3 linked regions of the Arabidopsis thaliana genome follow. The protein of the gene in region 2 purifies or fractionates together with the protein of the main gene of each other region. This does not show direct contact. Each region holds a gene or a part of one and is shown on either strand. Other genes may lie near its edges.

The links. The genes of interacting proteins can lie anywhere in the genome.
Region 1: the proteins of AT5G23540 (region 2) and PAF2 fractionate together in Arabidopsis thaliana (co-fractionation; one large-scale study listed by BioGRID). This does not show direct contact.
Region 3: the proteins of AT5G23540 (region 2) and PBB2 fractionate together in Arabidopsis thaliana (co-fractionation; one large-scale study listed by BioGRID). This does not show direct contact.

The regions. Positions count from the first base shown.
Region 1 is NC_003070.9:17,316,382-17,323,669, reverse strand, and holds PAF2 (20S proteasome alpha subunit F2), read right to left. Parts: upstream 4,552-7,288; 5' UTR 4,451-4,551; coding exon 4,100-4,450; exon of another isoform or gene 3,253-4,099; coding exon 2,770-3,252; 3' UTR 2,468-2,769; downstream 1-2,467. Other genes in the region: GAMMA CA2 (gamma carbonic anhydrase 2), read left to right, coding at 323-437, 586-729, 990-1,115, 1,218-1,369, 1,987-2,286.
Region 2 is NC_003076.8:7,934,560-7,941,841, reverse strand, and holds AT5G23540 (Mov34/MPN/PAD-1 family protein), read right to left. Parts: upstream 4,213-7,282; 5' UTR 4,071-4,212; coding exon 3,941-4,070; intron 3,751-3,940; coding exon 3,573-3,750; intron 3,482-3,572; coding exon 3,400-3,481; intron 3,219-3,399; coding exon 3,042-3,218; intron 2,951-3,041; coding exon 2,783-2,950; intron 2,695-2,782; coding exon 2,503-2,694; 3' UTR 2,238-2,502; downstream 1-2,237. Other genes in the region: AT5G23550 (Got1/Sft2-like vescicle transport protein family), read left to right, coding at 363-506, 932-985, 1,154-1,227, 1,357-1,474, 1,595-1,653, 1,850-1,928; AT5G23535 (KOW domain-containing protein), read right to left, coding at 4,715-4,797, 5,002-5,138, 5,227-5,330, 5,726-5,821, 5,912-5,971. UniProt on the Arabidopsis thaliana protein: Metalloprotease component of the 26S proteasome that specifically cleaves 'Lys-63'-linked polyubiquitin chains. The 26S proteasome is involved in the ATP-dependent degradation of ubiquitinated proteins.
Region 3 is NC_003076.8:16,245,819-16,253,678, forward strand, and holds PBB2 (20S proteasome beta subunit PBB2), read right to left. Parts: upstream 5,108-7,860; 5' UTR 4,985-5,107; exon of another isoform or gene 4,742-4,984; intron 4,650-4,741; 5' UTR 4,634-4,649; coding exon 4,490-4,633; intron 4,062-4,489; coding exon 3,920-4,061; intron 3,795-3,919; coding exon 3,698-3,794; intron 3,617-3,697; coding exon 3,547-3,616; intron 3,448-3,546; coding exon 3,343-3,447; intron 3,260-3,342; coding exon 3,161-3,259; intron 2,985-3,160; coding exon 2,897-2,984; intron 2,773-2,896; coding exon 2,693-2,772; 3' UTR 2,468-2,692; downstream 1-2,467. Other genes in the region: DEG13 (protease Do-like protein), read left to right, coding at 1-133, 329-379, 462-701; AT5G40570 (Surfeit locus protein 2 (SURF2)), read left to right, coding at 980-1,203, 1,668-1,688, 1,770-1,867, 1,976-2,143, 2,223-2,265, 2,352-2,433; AT5G40590 (Cysteine/Histidine-rich C1 domain family protein), read right to left, coding at 5,791-6,495; AT5G40595 (uncharacterized protein), read left to right, coding at 7,692-7,860. UniProt on the Arabidopsis thaliana protein: The proteasome is a multicatalytic proteinase complex which is characterized by its ability to cleave peptides with Arg, Phe, Tyr, Leu, and Glu adjacent to the leaving group at neutral or slightly basic pH.

The sequences.
Region 1 (7,288 bases), on a different chromosome or scaffold from region 2:
TTAATTATTTTACTCATTTTTGTGTTTGTCTCCTGAAAGCTTTGTTCCATCTCCTTACATTGCAAAACGAATCTATCCGGATTTTGTATTCACAATCTCTGTAAGTCCAACCAATAAATTTCGGTTTGGTTTAGCTTACCAGTTACCACTCCATACTCTAAAAATTTAGAGGTCAACAAAATAAACGAACTCACTCGAGTTAAAAAAAAAAATCCTCCCATCAATACGCCTCCATAAACCTCTCTCTATCTGGTGGAGCGACACCAAAAACAACAAAGCCTTCTCATTTTCACACTTTGGGTAATCGGAGAATCACAAAAAAATGGGAACCCTAGGACGAGCAATTTACACTGTGGGTAACTGGATTCGTGGAACTGGTCAAGCTCTTGATCGCGTTGGTTCTCTTCTTCAAGGAAGTCACCGTATCGAGGAACATCGTAAGCTTCCAGATCCTTCCACTTAATACTCTCTATTGAAACCCTAGATCCAATTCGTTATCTCTAATTTGTGTCTTCACCTTTGATTGGAGAAATTTGTGGCTTAGATTGAAAAAATTTGATTCGAGAAATTTGTGTTTGTTTTCAGTGTCGAGGCATCGGACGTTGATGAATGTGTTTGATAAATCACCATTGGTGGATAAAGATGTGTTTGTGGCTCCGAGTGCTTCTGTTATTGGTGATGTTCAGATCGGAAAAGGCTCGTCGATTTGGTATGGCTGTGTTCTTCGAGGTGAGGCTTTATTACTTCTAGAAAGTCTTAATGGCCTTTGGTTCGATAGAAGTACCAAATTTTGCAGCAGTATATTGTGCAAAGTAGTCATAGTTTAGTTTTAGGAAATGAAGTTCTCTTTACCTTCTAATAATCTTGTATCGCTGTTATACGTTACTGTCCTGATCATTGGACATAGATTTATTGTACTGTCGATAAAATGTGTCATGAAGTAGCTGTGAAACTTATTGTATGTTAATCTGGGTTTCTAACTTGTGCAGGTGATGTGAATAACATCAGTGTTGGATCTGGGACGAATATCCAAGATAATACGCTTGTACATGTTGCAAAGACCAACATAAGTGGCAAGGTTCTACCTACTCTGATTGGGGACAATGTAACAGTAGGTAAACCTTAAAAAGCGATTTATCAGTTTTGAAGTATCTGTTTTTATGTTGTGTTACACGATTGTTAGTTAAAGGTTTTGTTTGTAAAATGAAACGGAGCAGGTCACAGTGCTGTCATTCATGGGTGTACTGTTGAGGATGATGCTTTTGTTGGTATGGGAGCAACACTACTTGATGGTGTGGTGGTTGAGAAACATGCCATGGTTGCTGCTGGTTCTCTTGTGAAACAGAACACGCGAATCCCTTCTGGAGAGGTTTCTTTCTTTCCACTTTATCTTTTCTGGTTTACTGCTTACGGAGTTTGTGATAAGACTGGAACTGGAAACTGCTTTATTTCTCACTAAACTGAACGAGAAAATCCAAAGTATCAAGAACCAAAAATAGAACTCTAGCTAGGTTTACTTATCACGGACCCTGAAGCTCTACCAAGCCTAATAACGAACTGCTAATTAACCAAGTAATAGCAGCTGTAGTCTGCTGCATTTAGTCCTACGCTGACCTGTAGCTAAGGCTTGACCAGCTGAACTTCTTCAAGTAGATCCACTTTTGCTTTGCTTACAATTTAGTTGATACAGAATTAGTTAATGAAATGATATGCCTGTAAATTGTATTATATTTTGATCAAAAAGAAGAGTAAATAGTATTTATATATCGTCTAAATCTGAGAACCACCTTTGTTTCCGTTGCAATTCTACTTGTATATGAAACAAGGGTGAGTTGGGAGTAACAGAGGGTTCTTGTGTTTCCAATGTTTTATGAGGAATTAGACGGATTTCTTATATCGCTATGCTTTTGAACTACTTTCTTCAACCGTCAACCTGAGAATATATTTACAAGGACATATCTATAAGTTATCAGTTTCATGTGGCAGGTGTGGGGAGGAAATCCAGCAAAGTTCATGAGAAAGTTAACAGATGAAGAGATAGTATACATCTCACAGTCAGCAAAGAATTACATCAATCTCGCACAGATTCACGCCTCAGAGAATTCAAAGTCATTTGAGCAGATCGAGGTTGAGAGAGCGCTTAGGAAGAAGTATGCACGCAAGGACGAGGATTACGATTCAATGCTTGGGATTACCCGTGAAACTCCACCGGAGTTGATTCTTCCCGACAATGTCTTACCAGGTGGTAAACCCGTCGCCAAGGTTCCGTCTACTCAGTACTTCTAATTCCAATCTCAGGTTGTTTTTGTGTGTTGAAATCATTTCAAGACAGGATTGATTCTCTGGAAGGTCAAGAGAGATATTATTTTGGTTTTAACTTTTCTTCCGAGCAAGCAGGAGATTTATCATCCTTGCTCAATAATGTATGGTTGCATTATGAAGTCATTTCTTCGAGGAACAATTTGCAGAAAGAGAAACAAAGTTGGATTAATCTTTCATTCTTTCTCTCGCTGTTTCTCTCATTCAAAATGGTGTCTGTTTGATACACTCTCTAGGTTGGCGATTCGCCGATTATTATTATCATGTGACAGATTTGACTTAAGTAGGACTAAACATAAGCTAGTGGCACTCAATAACTCCTTGTTCCAAGCTGTTAAATAAACAAAGCCGAATAAAAACCACAATTGTACTTGGAAGTTGGAACATATCAAAGAGCTACACACAAGAAAATTGGTTAGAAAATCCAACTTTGAACTCATTCCCTCTTGCTCAAATTTCCATTGGTGCAACATCTTGATCACCTGAACCACCTTGTTCACCAGTTCCAGCAGCACCAGGAGCAGCTTCGGGTTCGGCCTCACCCTCACCAGCATCTTCCTCTTCCTCAGGAACCTTCTCAAACGTATCAATCACCTTTTGAATGCTTTCCTGGTCCAAGAAATGGAATGGTTCATCGACTCCTAGAACAGAAACAGTGCAGAGCGAGCTCTTCAGTGTTTCCCCTTGCAAAGTTTCCCTTATGGCCATAATAGCATCTTTTATCAGATCTTCTTTTGATGATTCTTGGAAGCTCTCGAATTTGCGCTCCAGATAGGTTTTCGCAGCTTGTGAACGAGACCCGATAGCGAATGCTTGATATTCAAAGTAGTTTCCGCTAGGGCAGTTGTAGTAGAGGTGAGCTCCTGACTCGTCCAATCCACCTACCAGCAAACCCACACCATAAGGCCGTTTCCATGATCGTTGGGTACATACCTGCTCAAAGATAATTTATGAAGATGTTTAATACAAGACAAACAAATGACTTAACATTTGAATGAAATCAGAGTGTTGTTCAAACTACAAGACTGATATCAATACGTTCTCAGAAATCAATTGAAAATGTAGATACAGCAGCTAACTTAATTTTTGACAGACATGAAAGTAAGTGGGACGTAGCAATCAAACCTTTTAAAAATTGTGAACACATCATCTAACTTGAGAACACTACGTTTAACACCAAAAGTAGTGAACATGTAGCACAAATTTCTATCACAACTGTAAACCAACATCTTACTGAAAATATACTTCATTAGGCAAGTAAATAAAGTGGCCAGGACATACTACAACTACAAGTAAGTAAACAAATGCAAAGTAATACAAGTCAAAACCACAAAACCAAAAAGAGATCAACAAAGACGTATATTTATTCTAGAATTGCAAGCAAAAACAACTCTATCAAGCAAAGAGAACAGACGATGACAACACAGAAACAACCAAACGACCAAAATCATCACATTCTTATACACTTCTATCGTCAAAGTGGGTATACAGGTTAACTCTTTCTAATCGGATTAAGCAACTAGCAACAGAACTGGATATGATTAACAACACAAGAATCTCTAATTCCCAATCACTAAGACTTGATCACAAACCAATATCACTACTTGCATAACAACACACACATTCTACAAATAAAATTGGCCACATTGCTAATAAAAACCTAAACTTTACTCCAATTACATAAAGCTTCAAACTTTCAGATACTCACACATCATAAAACTAAACCCTTTAGCAAATTCTAGGTCAAAATTCAAAAGTTAACCCAAAAATCTCAATTTACCTGAGCTTTATCAGCAAGATGAACAACAAGACGACCAACAGGAAGAGGAGACTCATAAGTAAAAGAGTGATTAATAGACTCAGATCTCATATATCGAGAGAGAACACGACCATCAGCAGTGAGACCAGCAATAGCAACACCAATATGATCATCGACTTTAAAGATCTTCCTTTGATGAGAAGAGAGCTCTGATTGTGCTTTGTTGACACAAGCGAGGACGACATGAGAGCGAGATCTGAGTCCTATTGCTGCGGAGCCTTGTTTCACAGCTTCCATGGCGTATTCGACTTGGAATAGTCGACCTGTGGGACTCCATGTTGTCACATCTGTGTCGTACTGGTTCCTGAACATCTTTCTTCTTCTTGTTCCTCTGTTCTTCAAAAGCTTTTCGTTTGCTTCAAGCTAGAGGAGGATGGTCTCTCTTATAGAGCTTAGAAGAAGAAAGTAAAGATTGTCAAAAAAAAGAGAAAGAAGACAGTAGAGTAAAATGGGCTTATGAAACTTAATGGGCTGGGTTTAATTATCCATTACTCTTTATTATTTTTTACACATTTAAAAGGATTATAATTTTATAAATAAATACTTAGCATTATATTATTTCTTTTTATAGTAATTAATTTAATTCATAATTTAACATTTGCAGTTTCAATTGGTTTTACATTATTTATTTACACATTTTTCACTACACTGATTATAAATTTACTATTCCCTCTGATCCTAAAACAATGATATTTTGGATTTTTCACAAATTAAAAAAAATAACTTTTATATTATTTTTATTGTTTTTTCTTACTGCAAACTATGTTTTAATCTATGAATGTAGATCATTACAGAGAAGGTTTTTGAACCAAATTGGCTCGTTCCTAAAGTCTGCTTTGAACACAGAAATCGTAAAAATTGGGGAAGCAAAATAGTCCGCTTAAAACACAAAAATCGTAAAATTAGGAAAACTAAATGGTGAGCTATACTATTACAAAGACGTTTTGTGAAAGTAAATACAATAGATGAAAATCTGAAGACCAATACTCTAAATCTAGAAGTAAATTAGCAATTTTACTTCTATTAGACTTGCCATTGATGGTTTTAATGAGGACTTCGCAATCTCTTTGGAATTGTACTTTCTTGTATTTTTGTATCCAAATTTGTTGCATCGCCACAAGTAACGCTTTCGTCTCAGCCTTTAGGAGAGTGTTGACATGATCTAAAATTGAAGATCCTCATGTGTTTGCTATCCCTTCATGGTCTCGTATAATCCATCCACCCGTACTTTAAGTACTATTCCTGTGTAAGTCCGCATCGAAATTGCACTTGACAAAAGAAACTGTCGGTTTTCTCCATGAAGTATTTTCCGATGATGGTGCTCTTGTTGTAGTAGTTTTTTCTTGCCTCCCTCTCGTGTTTATAATTCATTTATTATTTTTTTAATTAATTTAATAATATCAGTTCTACTTTTTTTCCTTTCTCTATTGATCACTAATGAAAATAATATTAATTTAAAACATCAACTTTTGTGAAACAAAAGTAAAATTTAAAACATCAAACTTCATGGACTAGAGGGAATTACAAGTTATTGTATTTTATTATTTCTAATTTTATGAAAATTAATAATTTAGCATGTGTAGTTTAAATTGGTTTGGAATAAAATTAATTTAGAAATCTAAACAAATAAAGTCACATGTTATTAGATTTTTAATTTGATATTTTGTTTTTGATAAAATCTTGTATTATTTGGTTGGAAACAAAGAGTATTAAAATTGTGTCAATTAGCTAACTAGCCAAATTCGACATACAAATTAGCAAAATAGTCATACGTCAGAAAACTTTAGTAAATAGTTTTTTCTTGGGGTGTAAAATAACCAAAATAACCTGGAAAAATAGACGGGAACTCGTGAGTTCCGACACTAGGTGTCTATATGTAGGGAACATAAACATGCGTAGGTAATGAGTAACCCGTTTTATTTATAAAACACACGCCATTTATATATGTTTTTGTTCCTGATGAGCCACATAACTTATAGATTTCAATTACCAATGAGAACATAAACATGCGTAGATAATGAGTAACCTGCTTTATTTATTAAACACACGATATATATAGATGTATTTGTTCATTTTTTTCTTAATTCTATAAACCACATACCTTTTAGATTTTACAGATGCATTTGATATTTAAACACTAACTTATATCACTAAATATGTCAAAAACGGACCATATATATATACAGATGTTTGCTTTGTATGCGACTAGTTATTCAATGGAGACTAACAGATAAAAAGGTCAATGGTAACTGTAACATAGAATGTTATTTAAAAACAACACATGTAATTCCTATATGCATACGCTGTATGAAAACAATGGGCGTGAGTTGGAAATTGTGTATTGGGCAATAAACTCGGCAAAGTATCAACTTATAGAGATCATACATTACATGCAATGTTTCGTTATATCAGTAATCATTAGTATGCAACTTGCTACATAATATGGTCGCCAAATCTTATTTGCGATTTGACAATGTAAATCTATCCGTAGGAAAATATTTGATACGTATCTATTGCATTAAATGCGGCGACAGTGTTATATACGAGTTCCAATGTTGCATTGGGGGAAGGGGTGAAACAAATTCCAAAAACAACGTGTTTCGTATAAATATAACATAGGATAACCACTAAGCATCCACCAGATAAACGACACGTCGCGCATGACGTCTGCGATAATGTTAAAACACATGAATTATTGTGGTTATGCATGTAATTCAAATACAATTCAGTTATATGTTTGATGCGACATTTACAGAAGCGACAGATTCCATCGATTAGCAGCCCTTCGAGAGTTTGGAGGGAAATCATAATTATTCAATATTATGTGGCTTAAAAGCTTGTAAGCACTGTTGCGGAAAATGTCTTAATATATTGTAGCCCTACTTCGTAGCAAAAGATTCCACATATAACAGGAGAGATGAGTAGCATTTAAAACACACGATAATGAGTAACCCGCTTTATTTATAAAACACACGCCATCTATATATGGCGTTGTTCTGGATGAGCCACATAACTTATAGATTTCAATTACTAATGAGAACGTAAACATGCGTAGGTAATGAGTAATCCGCTTTATTTATAAAACACACGATATATATATATATATATATATATATATATATATATATATGTATTTGTTCCTTCTTTTTT
Region 2 (7,282 bases):
AAGTTCAAGATATTTTTGACATATTATTTTTGTCAACCACTCATTAATTAAAGGGCCTTAATTAAAACCTTAATGGATGTGTAAATTTTTAAAATAAGAAAATAAAACCTTAATGGATCCAACAATTGGGCTAAGTTTATTTTAATTTAAAATAAGCCCAACAACTAAAGCCTTTTCTTCTTTTCTCCTCCTACGAAGAAAAGTGTCTCTTTCATTTTTCAGTCTCACACATTGCGTAATTTTGCAGAGAAGATCCAACCATACTTCAGTTCTACTGTCACAATTTGAGAAGAAGAAGCGTGAGATCTGATCACTAGAACTAGGAAGAAAGAGCTTAGACTACAGAAAGAGGACTTACAGAGATGGATAAAATGAATCAGGCTATTGAGAAGATGAAGATGTTGGTTGGTATGGAGGTTGAAGACGAGCAACAAGCTGCTGATGAAGAAAGCTCGCTCTCATTCATGGAAGATCTTAATCGCAATTGCGCTTTAACTACCAAACAGGTTCTTAACTTCCCCAGATTCTTCGATCAAGTCCTCTGAATTTGGTAATTTTTGTAATTTCACATGCGGACTAGGTATTCGTCCAATTAGAGAAGTTAGGCTCGTAAGCTCACTGAGGTAGAAATGTAAATGAGTTCCTATTGAATGCATATGATGTGATCAATAACATACAAGAGATTTTGAGATAAGTGTTTAGCAGTTCTATGATTTTTTGGAGGAGAAGGATTATAAAATTCCATGTGGTATGATAACAGTTTGATTAATAGGACTAAGTTTTGGCTTGCTACTACAAAAAATTAGGACGCTACTTGGATTTAGCTCCTCTATGAACCTGTAGTGTTGTCTCGTTTACAAGAATCTGTTAAATTATCTTGAATTGGGTTTGTCTTTGGCTAATATCTCGTTTTTTTTGTTTATGAAAACAGAGATTTTATGGCTTTGCAATTTGCTTGTCAGCAGGTTTGACCTGTACACTTTTGGTAAGTATAACTCTCAAGTCTTAGCAATGTTAGAAAGCACTATCCTTATTTCTGCATTGAAAGGAATCATTTGATTGGTTTAGCTGTATTCTTCTTCTGTACTTTGGGTTGTCTTAGCTCTTTTACTGGTGATATAACTCTTTATCTCTTATTTGTTTGACGATGCAGTCGATGCTTGTTTTCTTTAATCCGGTCAAGTTTGGCATCACATTCACTCTGGGAAATTTGATGGCACTCGGGAGGTTCGTATTGGAATTTTGTGTAGCTTCTTGTTATATTGCATTGGTGTCGCAATTCTGTGTGTACAGTATTTCTCCATTTTTCTCTCTTTGTTCCTGGATTTTAAGTTTCATGTCACTTTTGTATGGCAGCACAGCATTCCTTATAGGCCCACAGCGGCAGGTGACTATGATGCTTGACCCAGCTCGTATCTACGCTACTGCATTGTATCTAGCAAGCATTATCATTGCCTTGTTTTGTGCTCTTTATGTAAGTGGGGTTTCTCAATTCAAAATACTGGATGCACAACATTGCTTATGTTCAGTTAAAACTAGGTAGTGAAAATGCCTTGTTGGACTAAATATAATCTGTCATCATCTTTCTGTACAGGTTCGCAACAAGCTTCTGACACTGCTGGCTATCATTCTTGAGTTCACTGGTCTAATTTGGTATGCTAAAACTTGCTTTCAAGCTCTTACATTTTTATCCTAACTTTCTTAGTAATACAATTACATGATATATACTCTTCGAATAGTATATTATCCCGAGTGGACCTAATGCTCCTTATACGGTTTCTGAGTTTGTCACAAAAGCTGTCAACATTCATCTTGGAGAATGAATCCCTTGTGTTCTTTAAAACTGCAGGTATAGCTTGAGCTACATCCCTTTTGCAAGAACCATGGTCTCAAAGATCTTCATGACTTGTTTTGACACCGAGTTTTAAGCTACAGTTTACACACATCAGGTCAAAGATTTCTTGTTCCAAAACCTTGATGCTCTGGCTGAACGATTGGTCAATCTCCTCCAAATGTGTTCAAAGCAGGACTTGTTTGATGCACCGGTAACGTGCCATGCCCTTTATGGCTTATAATTGCCTCTTTACATCAAGTTCACGTCTTCACAAATCCTAGCACAGTTTTTTGTATATTTGCTGTGGAACTTAACGTAGATTTGGATGTTATTGCTGTTTGCTACAAAATTAAGATGTTAACTTCACTTGTTTTAGTTTCATTGTCATGGTTACGCTAAAGACTTAATCCAGGAGGGAAATTGCATATTCTTATCAAAAGCACTTAACTTGAAAGTTGCAGCATAAAATCTAAAAATGGGAGGAAAATAAAATCTGAAAATAATATGCAAAGAAATAGAAATCGATCCCTGCCCTTAACGAACGAAATCACATAGTACAGTACAACCTTGTAAAAAGCTAGCAGATAAAAAGAGAACATTCAGTAGAAGCCAAAGAGATGCAGAAGAACAAAGCTCAATGACTTGAAGCGGCTGGAGAAGTAAGCTCTCTAGAAGACAACAGTGTCGAGCATAGTGCCTAGTGTCTGAACAATGTTGGATGACATGAGGTTCGAGACATGTTCTTCCAGATGCTTCTTTGCATCTTGTCTTCCCACATTCACAATTGCCAGCTTCTCTGGTGACAACTCGTCCTCCTCTTGAACCGCCTTGTTATATTTAGCAGCCAAGCTCAACATCTCCTGTTAAACAGGAGATAATGAAAATGTCAATGAACATGATTGTAGAATATGCTTGAACAGATAAAAACATAACCCTGTGTTTCTTTACCTGGACCGTCTGTTCGTTGGTCTTGGAGTGGGTGTCAAAGCGTCTTAGCGTCAGACCATCTGTCCATTTCTTCTTGTGGAGGTTGAGTAACATCTTCTCCTCAAGCTCGTTCTTCCTATAGTTGATTGCTATTGAGTAATAGTGTCTGTTCAACCCGTGAATCAAAGCCTGCATAGTAGTATCCAAAAGTCAGTATCAGAGAAAACCTTTGATTTCGTTTCAACTTAAAAACAGGACACATTCAGTTAGTGATAATCACCTGGATCGATGGTTTGTTCAAGTGCCCAAGGTTCGATGTTGTTTGACGGGGTTCCTGCCCAAGCATAATGGTCTGTGGATTTATGGAGCGGAACGCATCAATCACCACCTTTCCTTTCACACTCTGAATCGGATCTACCACCACTGCTACAGCTCGCTGATTCAAAGCTTCAAAACTCTACAAAAGCACACAGATATTCACAATGAACATATATAATACAAAGTGAATCACAACAGGGTATAGAACACAATGAGTAACATTCTATTTAGTTTTTTGAGCCATCAATAAAGCAAACAACAAATTCTCAAGTGCAATTCACAAATTGATAAGTATGCAAACAGAGCAAACAAAACTCTACCTGTTGAGTATTAATGTCAACCCCAGAAAGCCAGCAGCCGAATCCAGGATGTGAATGATACCAACCAACCACCATCTCAGGTCTGAAACAAGATACAAGAAGAATCAGATCCAAAACCTAAATAGGAAACCTCACTTAAGCGTAGTAAATAGGTTTAGAGAAGAACTAGTTACCTTCCGGTCTGTTTAAGCATGTCGAGCATATTAGTCTGGAAAACATGATCAACAGCTTCAACACTAACACCAGTACCACTCTGAGGCATCGCAAAAACATCCACAACCCTAACAGTGTATTCATCCACAAACTCTCCAAGCATCAATCCCATGACTTCCATAGGAACACCAGCTCTTCCTGCAATATTCCGATCAATTTTCATTAAATCTCTACTCAAATCCGCATTTTGAATCTCAGAAACAGATCGAATAAAACCCTAGAGTTCCAGAGCAAAAGAGGACGAGAGTAAAATCACAGAGAACGAGACAAAATCATAAAACCCTAAGCAAGAGAAGACTAAATTAGAGCTTGGGTTTGGATTGATTACCGTGCTTAAGCATCTTGAGGAGAGCGAGAGAAGAGATGTAAACCTGCTCCGATGTATCGAGAGTCGGAGAATCAGGCGATGCGTGACCTAAACCGCCACCAGCTCCGAAGATTCTCTGTAGTCTCTCCATAATCAGATGAATTGATTAGTCGTCTTCTTCGAAAGTTTGTTCTTCTGGGTTTTTGCTACAAGAATGGGATCTTATAAGAAAACCTTTCTCAGTTTTCTTTGTTAACAAGACAGACGAAGATGGATCGAATTACTCGATTAGGCGACACTAATTACATATAAGTCCTTCAATATTTCCTTTTATTTATTGTAACCAATAATTCACCAAATTTCCAAATCATCCCCAAAAATAAAAGTTAATAACCAATTTGAATTTCCATATTTTTTTTGTCAAAATTTTAAATTTCATTACAATGCAAATCATGTCATTGTGTTAATATTGTTAATTCGGTTGCATAATATAAATCTACTTTACTTAGAGCTTATAGTTTTCGTTTTATGTTTAGACTTCTGGCTAGTGTATATACAATAACTAAACATGTAAATATTGAACTGTTTTCCAGACGGATTTTATTTGGCACCTTGAAAGTTCACAAGATCAATGAAAGAAAAAAGGAAAACGACTCCGTTTCAGTCATGATCAAAGGTTCTCCAACAAAACCTCACAGCTCTAGACCGAAATCAAACTCTAATGGATGGGAAAAAGAAGAATCCTTTTTGAGAGCAGGCAACATTTTCCAAACGAAACTGTAGAGAGGTTTCAACTCAAAGATCAGGCATGCCCTTTCCAGTTTTAGCATCATATGTCTGCTCCCAGACAAACTCCATTGGTGTGTCCTTAGGGCCAGCTGCAAAGAGAAAAGTATGAATCCTTCTATAAGAAAACCGCTACTATCAAGTTTGTTGATTATGTTGATAGCAAACGAATTATGTTGATTCTATGTTTATCTTATAGCCGATCTATGATTATGTTTTTTTCTCAGATAGCTAACAGACTTCCACTATATATTTCCAAAATCCAACGTTTAAAGAGATATTGAGCTTCTATGTACCAGTTGTGGGTCGCGGCGTTGCCCTTATCTTTAGAATCTCTGGTCGGGGAATTATGGAACCAGATGTGCCAGTGCCTCTGGCTACTCTTACTTTTGTTCCATCTTCTAGGTATTTTACACCAACCTTACAAGGCCTCCTGTGGTAGAAAAGATAATAGATTAATAAGTGATCTCTCGCTTGAGCAAAAGAGTAATTGGAGACAGTAGTGCAGAGTGAAATCATACCCAGTGACAGGATCAACAACTTGGACATTTGAGGCGTGAAGAGGAGCCTCTACAGTGAAAATTCCACCTTCGTGATCAGGGCCTCCCTTTATATGTTTCTTGATCTGAGAACACAGGAAAAAAAAAGCATCAGCGAAAAACATATACAAGCTTCAGTGAGTAGACAAAGACTATCCCAGCAGCAAGGTAGAACATCCAAAACGATAACAGTTTCAAGATAAACAATTCAAAAGAATTGTGTAGCGAAATCCATGGAACTAGAGTCGCTTTGTGATTTAGTAACCGTCTACTTGATGCTTGGATTAAAAAAATGAGAATCAAATGAAAATTGATAACTCTATGGTTGGTGTTGAGCTAGTGATATGATATTGATTCAGTACTAGTTCATACTCTACAAACCAAATCAAGAACAAAAAAATCAAAAAATGAACTTGTACATTCATTCTCTAAATGCATGAGACAGAGCGAACAAAAGATATCCAGAACAAGACTATCTCACCAGATTCTTCCCTTCAACGATGACACGATTTTGGGATCGAATGACACGCTTTATGGTTCCAGTCTCACCCTTATCTTTCCCACGAATTATCATTACCTGCACATAAAATCATACCCCAGAAACAACAGATCAAAAATGAAACCAAACTAATGAACACCACAAGAAGAACATGAGTGGTGTACTCACATTGTCTCCTCGAAGTATCTTCCAGTGTCTGATGAGTTTCTCAGCAGCTTTCCAGCCCATAGCTGCTACTCTCTTTGAGAATAATCCTAAAAATTACATCACAACAAATTCACGTCTTTCTTCTAACAAAAAAAACAACGAGAAACGGAAAGCATGAAGAATCCAAATCAAAGAAATTGAAAATGGCAGGGCCAATTTCGAGGGTTTTCAACTGCGGAAAGCCACCTAAATTAGGGTTTTTTCACGTCAAAGATACGCAACCAAAAAATTTATACATAATTCCGATCTAATTCGAAAAGGGAGAAAATTGATGATTAGAAATGATATCGCCGAAATTGACAATTAGGATGCGAAAACAAGTTTGGTCTAATAGAAGAAGCTTGCCTCTGAGAATTAATCGAGAGATCGAGGAAGAGGAAACCAATGGAGTTGAAGCTTTTTTGTTTTCCGCCGACGGTGCAGGCAGCGTTAACCACGGTGGCGAAGAAGTCGTCAGTATTTTGATTGTGAGTGTAAAAAAGATAAACCCTAAAACCTCTCATGTCTTCAAACATTAAAACGACACCGCATTCGCAATTTGGCCAAAAAAATTATAAGTCACTAACTAATTAGGTATTAACGATTTTAATTAATTGGGATGAGACGATATATGCTCTGTTTTCTTTTCTTTACTAGAGATGCACTGTTGATGTATTATTAGAGACCAAATTTTTTGTATTCCGATGTGTTAGAAGTTCACATTTTTATATGGTTTGAACTTGGAAGGTAACTACGGGATTAAATATGCCTGGATTATATCGTGTATCTAAATCATGATGGTGTAAATTCGTTCTTGTTTTGCTTTTTGCTTTGAATGGATGTTGTAGTTAGTGCGGACTAATCCGTAGCGGTTTAGTCCATACCATTTTTGGGTCGGACAACAAACCGATGCGGACTTAGTTTAAAGACTGTCCGCAGTTAGTCCGATGCGGTTGTCTTCTATTTTTTTTAAGTATGTACTATTACGGATTATAATTTATGAATGGTAAATAAAAAGCGGTCCGGTCTATAAACGGTTTTGTCTGTTTGGACCGCTGTAATCATTCAAAGTTTGTTTTTACAAATTTACCCATGACCACTGTTGAATCTAACATAGAGAAGAATTGAATGAGATTGAAAATTAGTTGATGCAGGTTTCTGACATTAGAAATTACTTGCCTCCTGCAACATGTACATTGATTGAATCTACTTGCTCTTATGTGACTCCATTGCGTTGGCCATGTGACATGACTTCATCGACATTCAACACTGTAGTAGAAGAAAACTAGTGACTTAAACCTTAAGCCAAATCCAAAATATTTGAGATTTTTTTCTATTTTTACGTTTACGTGT
Region 3 (7,860 bases), 8.3 Mb from region 2:
GCAACGGCTAGTTCCAGCAGGTCAAATTGACAACAACCCAAGTTATTACATATTCGCTGGTTTTGTCTTTGTGCCTCTCCGTAAACAACATTTTAAAGGTTCCAACGGTGAACAAATTGTAGTGATTTCTGAGGTTTGTGCCTTTTCTTTTCTAATATAAATATGCCCAAAAAGGTTGGTGAAATGATCATCTATTTTTACTTCTTATTGTTAGAAAGGAATTGGGATAAGGTGAAATAAATATGTGCTAATAGCTAAATCTAAAAATTAGCAATGTTATCTTCGTCGTTTATAGTATAAACGTTAGAATTTTTGTTTCTTATTGTAGGTATTAGCTGATGTGATCAATGTAGAATACTACATGTACAAGCATTTGAAGGTAATCAACAAAGGATCAATAGTTATGAAGTTTATTAAAATGACTCTATTTCGGTGCAATAATATTTTTGTGATGGAAACAGGTGAACAGCGTCAACAAAGTGAAGGTGGAGAATCTAAAGCATTTGTGTGAACTCATAGAGAAATGTTGCACCAAGGATTTGAGGCTAGAATTAGGAGATGGTCGAGTAATAATCTTGGATTATCAGTTTGCGAAAAGTTCCACTTCTTTGATTTTGGAACGTCATAGAGTACCATGGGCCATGTCCAAAGATCTCATGACTGATCAATCGACCACTTGTTCGAGTACGAGATTATATTAATAGTATAAATTGAATTTAAGGTTCCCTAAACATTTGACCAAAAAAAAAAAAAAAGGTTCCCTAAACATTTACCGCTTCGGTTTAGAACCAGAAAATTTGTAATGTGTTACTAATCAGACCTAAAATGTCTATTGGTTGCGTTCGGTTAAATTTATTCGGTAAAGCTATCGTTTACACCAAAACAAAATTATTGAATACAATTCGGTTCGGTTCAATTTTGTTGTCCACGAATAATAGAGAGAGTCTATGCTTCCTTAAGCTTAAGTGAATCGGTGACGATGATGAAGGAGAAGGCGAAAGAAGGGAAGAGTCTGTTTGGGTCTCCGACGTTCGTTGATCTTGGAAACGGACGGCTCAGATGCGTCGAGACTGGTCACGAGGTTTTAGCGGGAGACGTAGAATCATACGCTCGTAACAAACGGTGTCGTTTAGGACTCATCAATCACGCTTTGTCTCTAGGAAAGCCTCCTCTCAACATGTTCTCGCAATGCCCACTTTCTCGGTTAGTCAAATAAGTTTCTCAAATTTTTGTGTGTTTCTGGGAAAATCAGATTTTTTTAGTTGGGGGTTAGGTTTATAAGAGTGTAAGATTGAATCATCCACAAATTCTACTAATCTCACGATTCAAGCTTTAATTTTGGAGGGTTATGATGTTTCTCTCTGTTTTGATTATTTTGTGAAACTTCGATTGTTTTCTGAGCAAGAAAGGATGAAACTTTCACTGTTTTGAGAGCTAAAAGTTGTGACTTTGGATTTCTCTAGAGTTTCAGATTGTATTAGCTCAAGTTTCGTTTAGATCCTTGCTTCATAGTTTCTGCTACTAGTAAAAAGCTGGTTAATTTTGTTTTTTCTTTAGACCACTGAGGAGCATTGGTTGTTAATTTCAGTCAGTGTGGAATACATTGAAAATGGTTATAAAAGTTATAATCTTTCTTCTGATTTTGAGCCTTTTGGCTTTGTTCGCAGCATCGAAAATGGTTTAAAGTTGTAAGCTTTCTTCTGGTTTTGCCAGTATTGAAAATGGTTACAAGTTATAAGCTTTCTCCCTGCTTTTGGCTATGTTCTCAGCTCGAAACTTGTGTGCAAGCTAACTGGAGATACTGTGAACAAGAACGAGGAACATATCTGGAAACACGTGAATGGGAAAAGATTTCTTCACAAATTAGGTCTATAAAAATTGTTTCTCCCATGATATCAGATTCATTGAAATCGTGTAATGAATCTTAGTTAGTATGTCTTGGCTTATAATGTTTTGATGTTGATAAATTTGATAGAGCAAGTGGAAAGAGGAGCTGGATCAAGCGGAAGGACTGAGGAAACACAAGTAAACAATCCAAGACACAATAAGGAAGATTCTGGTTCTGAGGAATCCGACTTTTGGATGCCTAAGTCAAGTTCTGATTCAGAGTTAGATGAAGAGACTGATGAAGAAAACTGTAAAGGTTGCTCTCTTTTGTTTTTTGGTTCTACTGTCATCTCATATCGAAACTTTAATTAGATTTGCATCTGATTTGGGTACAGGTTCTCATTGTGATGACAAAGAATCTGAAGAGCTCTCAGAAAGGTACATTACTATATTTGCTCTTCTCTTTTTTTACAATCATCCTTTTGATTGTGTCTCATAATAACTCAATTTGGTCTCTTCTACAGAACAAAGAGAATGTCACTAGAGATTGGACCAAGTAGCTTTGCTTCTAGGAAGAAAAAGAGTAAGAATGATGAGTTGTCTTAAGATGTTGTGGACAAAAAAAGAAAGAGCACAATTTTGTTTGTAAGAAAGAGCTCTTTTGAAAATTATGTGAGAGCTAAATTTCAAAACCGAATCATCCATAATCATTAATCACAAGTTCAAGCCAAATTTAAAGACGAAATGGAGGCAACTACGATTCGATTTTAGTCGTTCATATTGAACAAAGTAGAAAATGTAAACATGACTGTCATGTGAGGTAGAACAATGGTTTCACTCTTAGTATCTGTCTCTCACACGAGATTCATTCCTCCATAGCTTCACCAGCCACTTCTACAATTTCGACTCGCTCCAATAATGGTGTAATTTTGGTGAGTAGAACCTCTGTTTTCACAGAGAAACAAAAACAGTAAGAAGAAGAGGAAGATCGAATTAAACCAAGTTTAACACTTCAATAATCATGACTGATACCAGAGACGAGTAAGTGTTGCAACAAGTAGATTCTTACCGGTTTTCTTGGTGAATGAATAGCCTTTGCTGCTAACATAGGTTCTTGGGTTTGGTTCCATGTAATTCCTCAAGTATTCCTTGTGCCCCTGTCCCAAAATCATCTCAAACAATCAGTTTCAAATCGAAGATATAGGTAATCCAGAGTACTGGTTTTGTAGCGAATCACTTTGGTTTAGCTTAATATCTGTCAGTCATGAAGCAAACGAATTTCTAGATACTTCAGTTATCTATTAAAAGCAGAGGAAGATGGAGTATGACAAACCTTAGTGATCACACAGATATCCACATTGCTACCACTACCAAGGTCGTTGAATATACCAGAGCATATGGCTTCAGCAACCAACTTGATTCCTTCATCTCTCTGGAAGATTTGAGTCAATCATCAAACAAACAGCCAAGAAGAGATCTAAACAACATAAAGATAAATGTCTCTGCTTTACTTACAGTTAGACCTTCTTTATACTTTGCTTCAAACACTGACATGGCAGCAAGGGAACCAGAACCCATTGTAGCAAATGGTAGAGTGTCAGTAGAACCGTGTGGGTATATCTGCATTTTGACCAGAACATTAGAGATGGAATACAAAATGAAAGAACCTGAAAAAGGCTTTCTACAGCTGAGAATTTTGATCAGGAATTTGAAACTCACCGTGTGAAGATGAGGCCCGGTAATATCAACTCCACCAAGCACAAGAGCAGCTGAGACATGGCCTTGGTAGCTGAATGATACTTGAGAAGTTAAATTATGTATGCCTATTAGTAAAGATAACAATTTTCTGAGCATGGTGAAGCAAAAATACCTGAAAAGATGTTTTTTGAGAAGGGTCAATGCAGTAACGACTCGAGAATCTCGGCCAGTCTGGTATCTATGCAACCGCAGCTGTGAGCTGACCATATCTGAACAGTGAAATAGCAATCAAAATAACTTAAGCATTGGGTTTTGATCGAGTTAACAGAAGTTCCGAGAAATTCAACTTTGATCTAGGGTAGCAGTAAAGAAATTTGGAAGTTAAGAAAATTACCAGTTACTGCTTCAGTGTCAGCAGCGGTTCCTGCACCACAACAGTAAATGTTTGGTGCCATGTAGTGAATCTTCTCACAGTTCTTATCAGCCACAATAGGCCCTTCAGTTGCCCGTGTATCAGCCCCAAGTATTACACCATCCTATACAAAACAGATAAATGAAATCAGTAATCATCTAAAAGAGAATGTCACATCATAATCACATGTTTCATAAAATGTTGTAGAATATAGAGGTAAATAGACCATAAAAACATCAACGTGATGTCATATGGTCAAGGGTTGAGAAAGCAACAACACCTCAGACTTTCATGTTATCTTATCTAAAGCTATCAGGTGCCCAATTCACTGATAAGCAGCCATCCACAAACACAAGTTCAATCACATTTGCATCTTAGCCCACAATTCTTAAATCTTAGGTCACTATGTTCACTTCCATAGTTCCATAACTTGCAAACAACCAAAATAGAGCACTCACTATCCAACAATAACACTATGCTAACCATTCAAAAGCTATAAAAGAAAACCCAAAACCCATTACATTGTAGAGAATGTGAGATAGAAACAAAGACCTTAAATATCAATCCAACGATAGTCGTTCCAGTCTTGAGAAACGACGGCGCTTTAAGACCCTTCTGTGTCAGCATATCATTCCTTTTGCACAGATCGAAGCTAAACCCACCTTTTGGCGGTATATCGACGGAAGACTGCGACATTTTCCGATTCACCACTCTACAAAATGAGGAAAAATCAAATCATCACCCAAACAAAAAAAAACGAGTAACGAAGTGAAATTTGAATCTTGAGAAGCAAAATTCGAGAACCAAAGCTAGCTAGCTGATGATACGAAACCAGAAGAACAGAGTGTAGAAACTAATAATCACATACTAACAACAGATTTTTTGAAAACTCCTGAAATAAAATCAACTCAAAAAGTTGGGATCGAGATCGCTCAAGGATAGGTAAAATCGTGTTCGAATCACCAAAATCGAGAAGATAGAATCCAGGGAGACGACAGTATGAAGAATAAAAGTGAAAAATCTAAGCTTATAGAAGAGTGATGTTACCTTTACTTGAAGGTTTTGCTGAGAGGAAGGAAGCTCGAATCGGAGAAGAAGAAGAAAGCAAGCAACTTTAGCAGAGAGTTTTCTTCTTCCTCAATTAAACTATTTTTGAGGCTCTATTATAAATGGGCCTATCTTTACTTTAATGGGCTTAACTTCTGTCAAAATGAGCCCATTTGTTAACTCCCTAATGATTATGTGACTTCTAATTGTGTGTGTGTTTTTCTTGACATCATCACTTCTAATTGTGTGTTTGCATTTGCAAGGTCTGGATTTGTTTGTTTTTTATTCAGTTTTGAGATCAATTTGATTTTACGAACAAATAACATTGACAGAAATATAAAATAAAATGTAATTAATACTATATTGATAATATAGATATAATTAAATCTTAAACTTTAGATTTTATTTTACCATCCGTTATTAACACATCGATAACACTAACACAAACTACTTTAAATAACCCCAAATCTCACAATTTCAATACTTTATTCCCAATATTTTTAATCTATAAGTAGGGGTGATCCAATACTTATATATTTTTCCTATAGTAATATAAAATGGATTATGGAACTTGAAACATAGTATGCAAAGGTAACATGGTTACAAAAACGAAAGCAGCAATAATCGTTCAAAAAAAAAAACTGATAATTCTTTTATTTCAGATAACAATTTCAAAGAAAAAAACAACAACAACAACAACATGAAAAGTTTGCAGGAGCAACAACAACATAAATCAAGAAAAAGCAACAAAAAGAAGAAAAACAGACACAAGTAAAGAGAATTTGAAGAATCCCAACTTCTTCGAATTAGATGCAATTGAGAGCTGCCTTATTCGCCTTTTTCGAAATCAAAGCACTTTGCATCGCCAAATGCATCTCAATCTGCATCCTCTCCACTTCTCTTTGAGCCTCTAACATTGCAGCTAACTCCGAATTCATCGAGTTTTTACTTCCTTCTCCTTTTTGATCTTCTTTCTTTGCCTCTTCCTCTTTCTTACATGAGTGTAAATGCGTAGCGTAATCACATTCCTTGCAATAATACGACCAGAGATTATCCGGTACAATGTCTTCACAAACATCGCATTTGGAAACTAAACCGGGTTGGTTATAAGGAGAACCGTAAAGAAGAGTAAGTGGATGTGGGTGATCTTCACGCTTCACTGTTTCAGGCATTGAAACACATCCGACATGTACATCGTACTGACAGATTGAACAGTTGTACGTGAAACTTGATCCGTATTCGCCGCAAGCATTACACGTGTACGTTGACTTTGGGGAATAGATTAAAGTCAAAGTGTGGGGTTGGTGAGATTTGTGGTTGGTTTCACGTGGAAGTTCAAAACATGACTTGTGCAAGAAGTAATCACAATCTGATGACTTTGTGCATTTGAAAGCTGCACCAACCAGATCGAGATCACAACCGGAGCAGATGATTTCGTCTTTGGCTTCGCATTTGTGACCGCGCAATGGATGGTTGTGACTCGGGTGCCTCACCGATTGTCGTGAAGACATTGTTTTATTCAATGTTCTTGATTTAGTATTGAGAGGCGTTTTGTTTGTGTTTGTGTTTGTGATTGTAATTAGCTTAGGATTTCAATCTATTTATAGCGTTAATGGAGAAGACTTAGTGATATTGAGTCTTGGTTTTGAATTTGACTATCAAACCAAGTTGTAGTTTATAGTGATTAACTATATAATTGGGAGAACAATGTCACGCTTTAAGTTATATATATATATAATATATTATATATTAAGTATATAACAAAATGGTTCATTTGGGATTCGAAGTCAAGAAATGCATTTCAAAGTCAAGAGATGCATTATGCATGGAATTAGTTTGCGATCTTGTTCACGCATCTGAGTTTTTTTTAAATGTTATAACTATAATTAGCTAATTAACCTGTTGAAATTCAAGATAAATCAAAATAAATATTGTTCTATCATTAGCAAGTTGGGGATAAATACATTAACGTTGACATAGTGACGGATGTAAAAGTCAAACTAATCACAATGCTTTGACTCTAATTAATTAAGGCTGATATCCACCGTCTACTCCTTCGTTTCGTTTCGTTTCGTTTCGTTTCATACAATAATGTTTTTTGGAATGCATACATACTATATTGTAAAATGATTGAATTACACTTTTTTATAAGAAATGATAAAAAATGATAAAAGAATTGGTGGAGATACAAAAATAAGAGATGCTCGAAATAATAATAGAATTGTGAAAACAAAAACAACAACGCATTAAAATAATATGATTGTTTTATTAAAATCATAAATATATATATATATAAAAAAACAAAATATAAATTAACATATTTTAGTTAGTTTATATCTTTGTAATCGATTCGATTATGTTACGCTCACAATCACAAGTTTGAAAATCTTCGTGTGGGATGAATCATAATGGATCCTGTAATAGAAATGTCATAATAAACAGATTACGGAATCCTTGATTATTGATATGGTTTCCTTAGTCAAAAAAATTAGAATCACTGGGGAACAGTAATGGAATTCAATCATGCAAAAATAACTTGTCAATTTATGTTAATATTATGTAAGAGATCCTCATGATTCGAATTGTGATTCATTCATGTAGCAGTTTCACCGATGATCTTATGTGTTATAAATTAGATTAATATTCAGACAAGGTCACACTCACACATTGACATTACATACGATCAAACTCGGTTTCTTACGGTACCATGTCGCGGTTTGGAGAAAACAATGGCAAGGGCATTAAGCCCCTGCCAAGAACAATTCGAGTTCGCATGTTTGACAACTCGGAATTAATCAGAAGGTTAAAGAGGACGACACTTATCGGAAAGATTATGAATCCTGACGTTCAGAGTGTTGGATCACTAGTTTTGATGA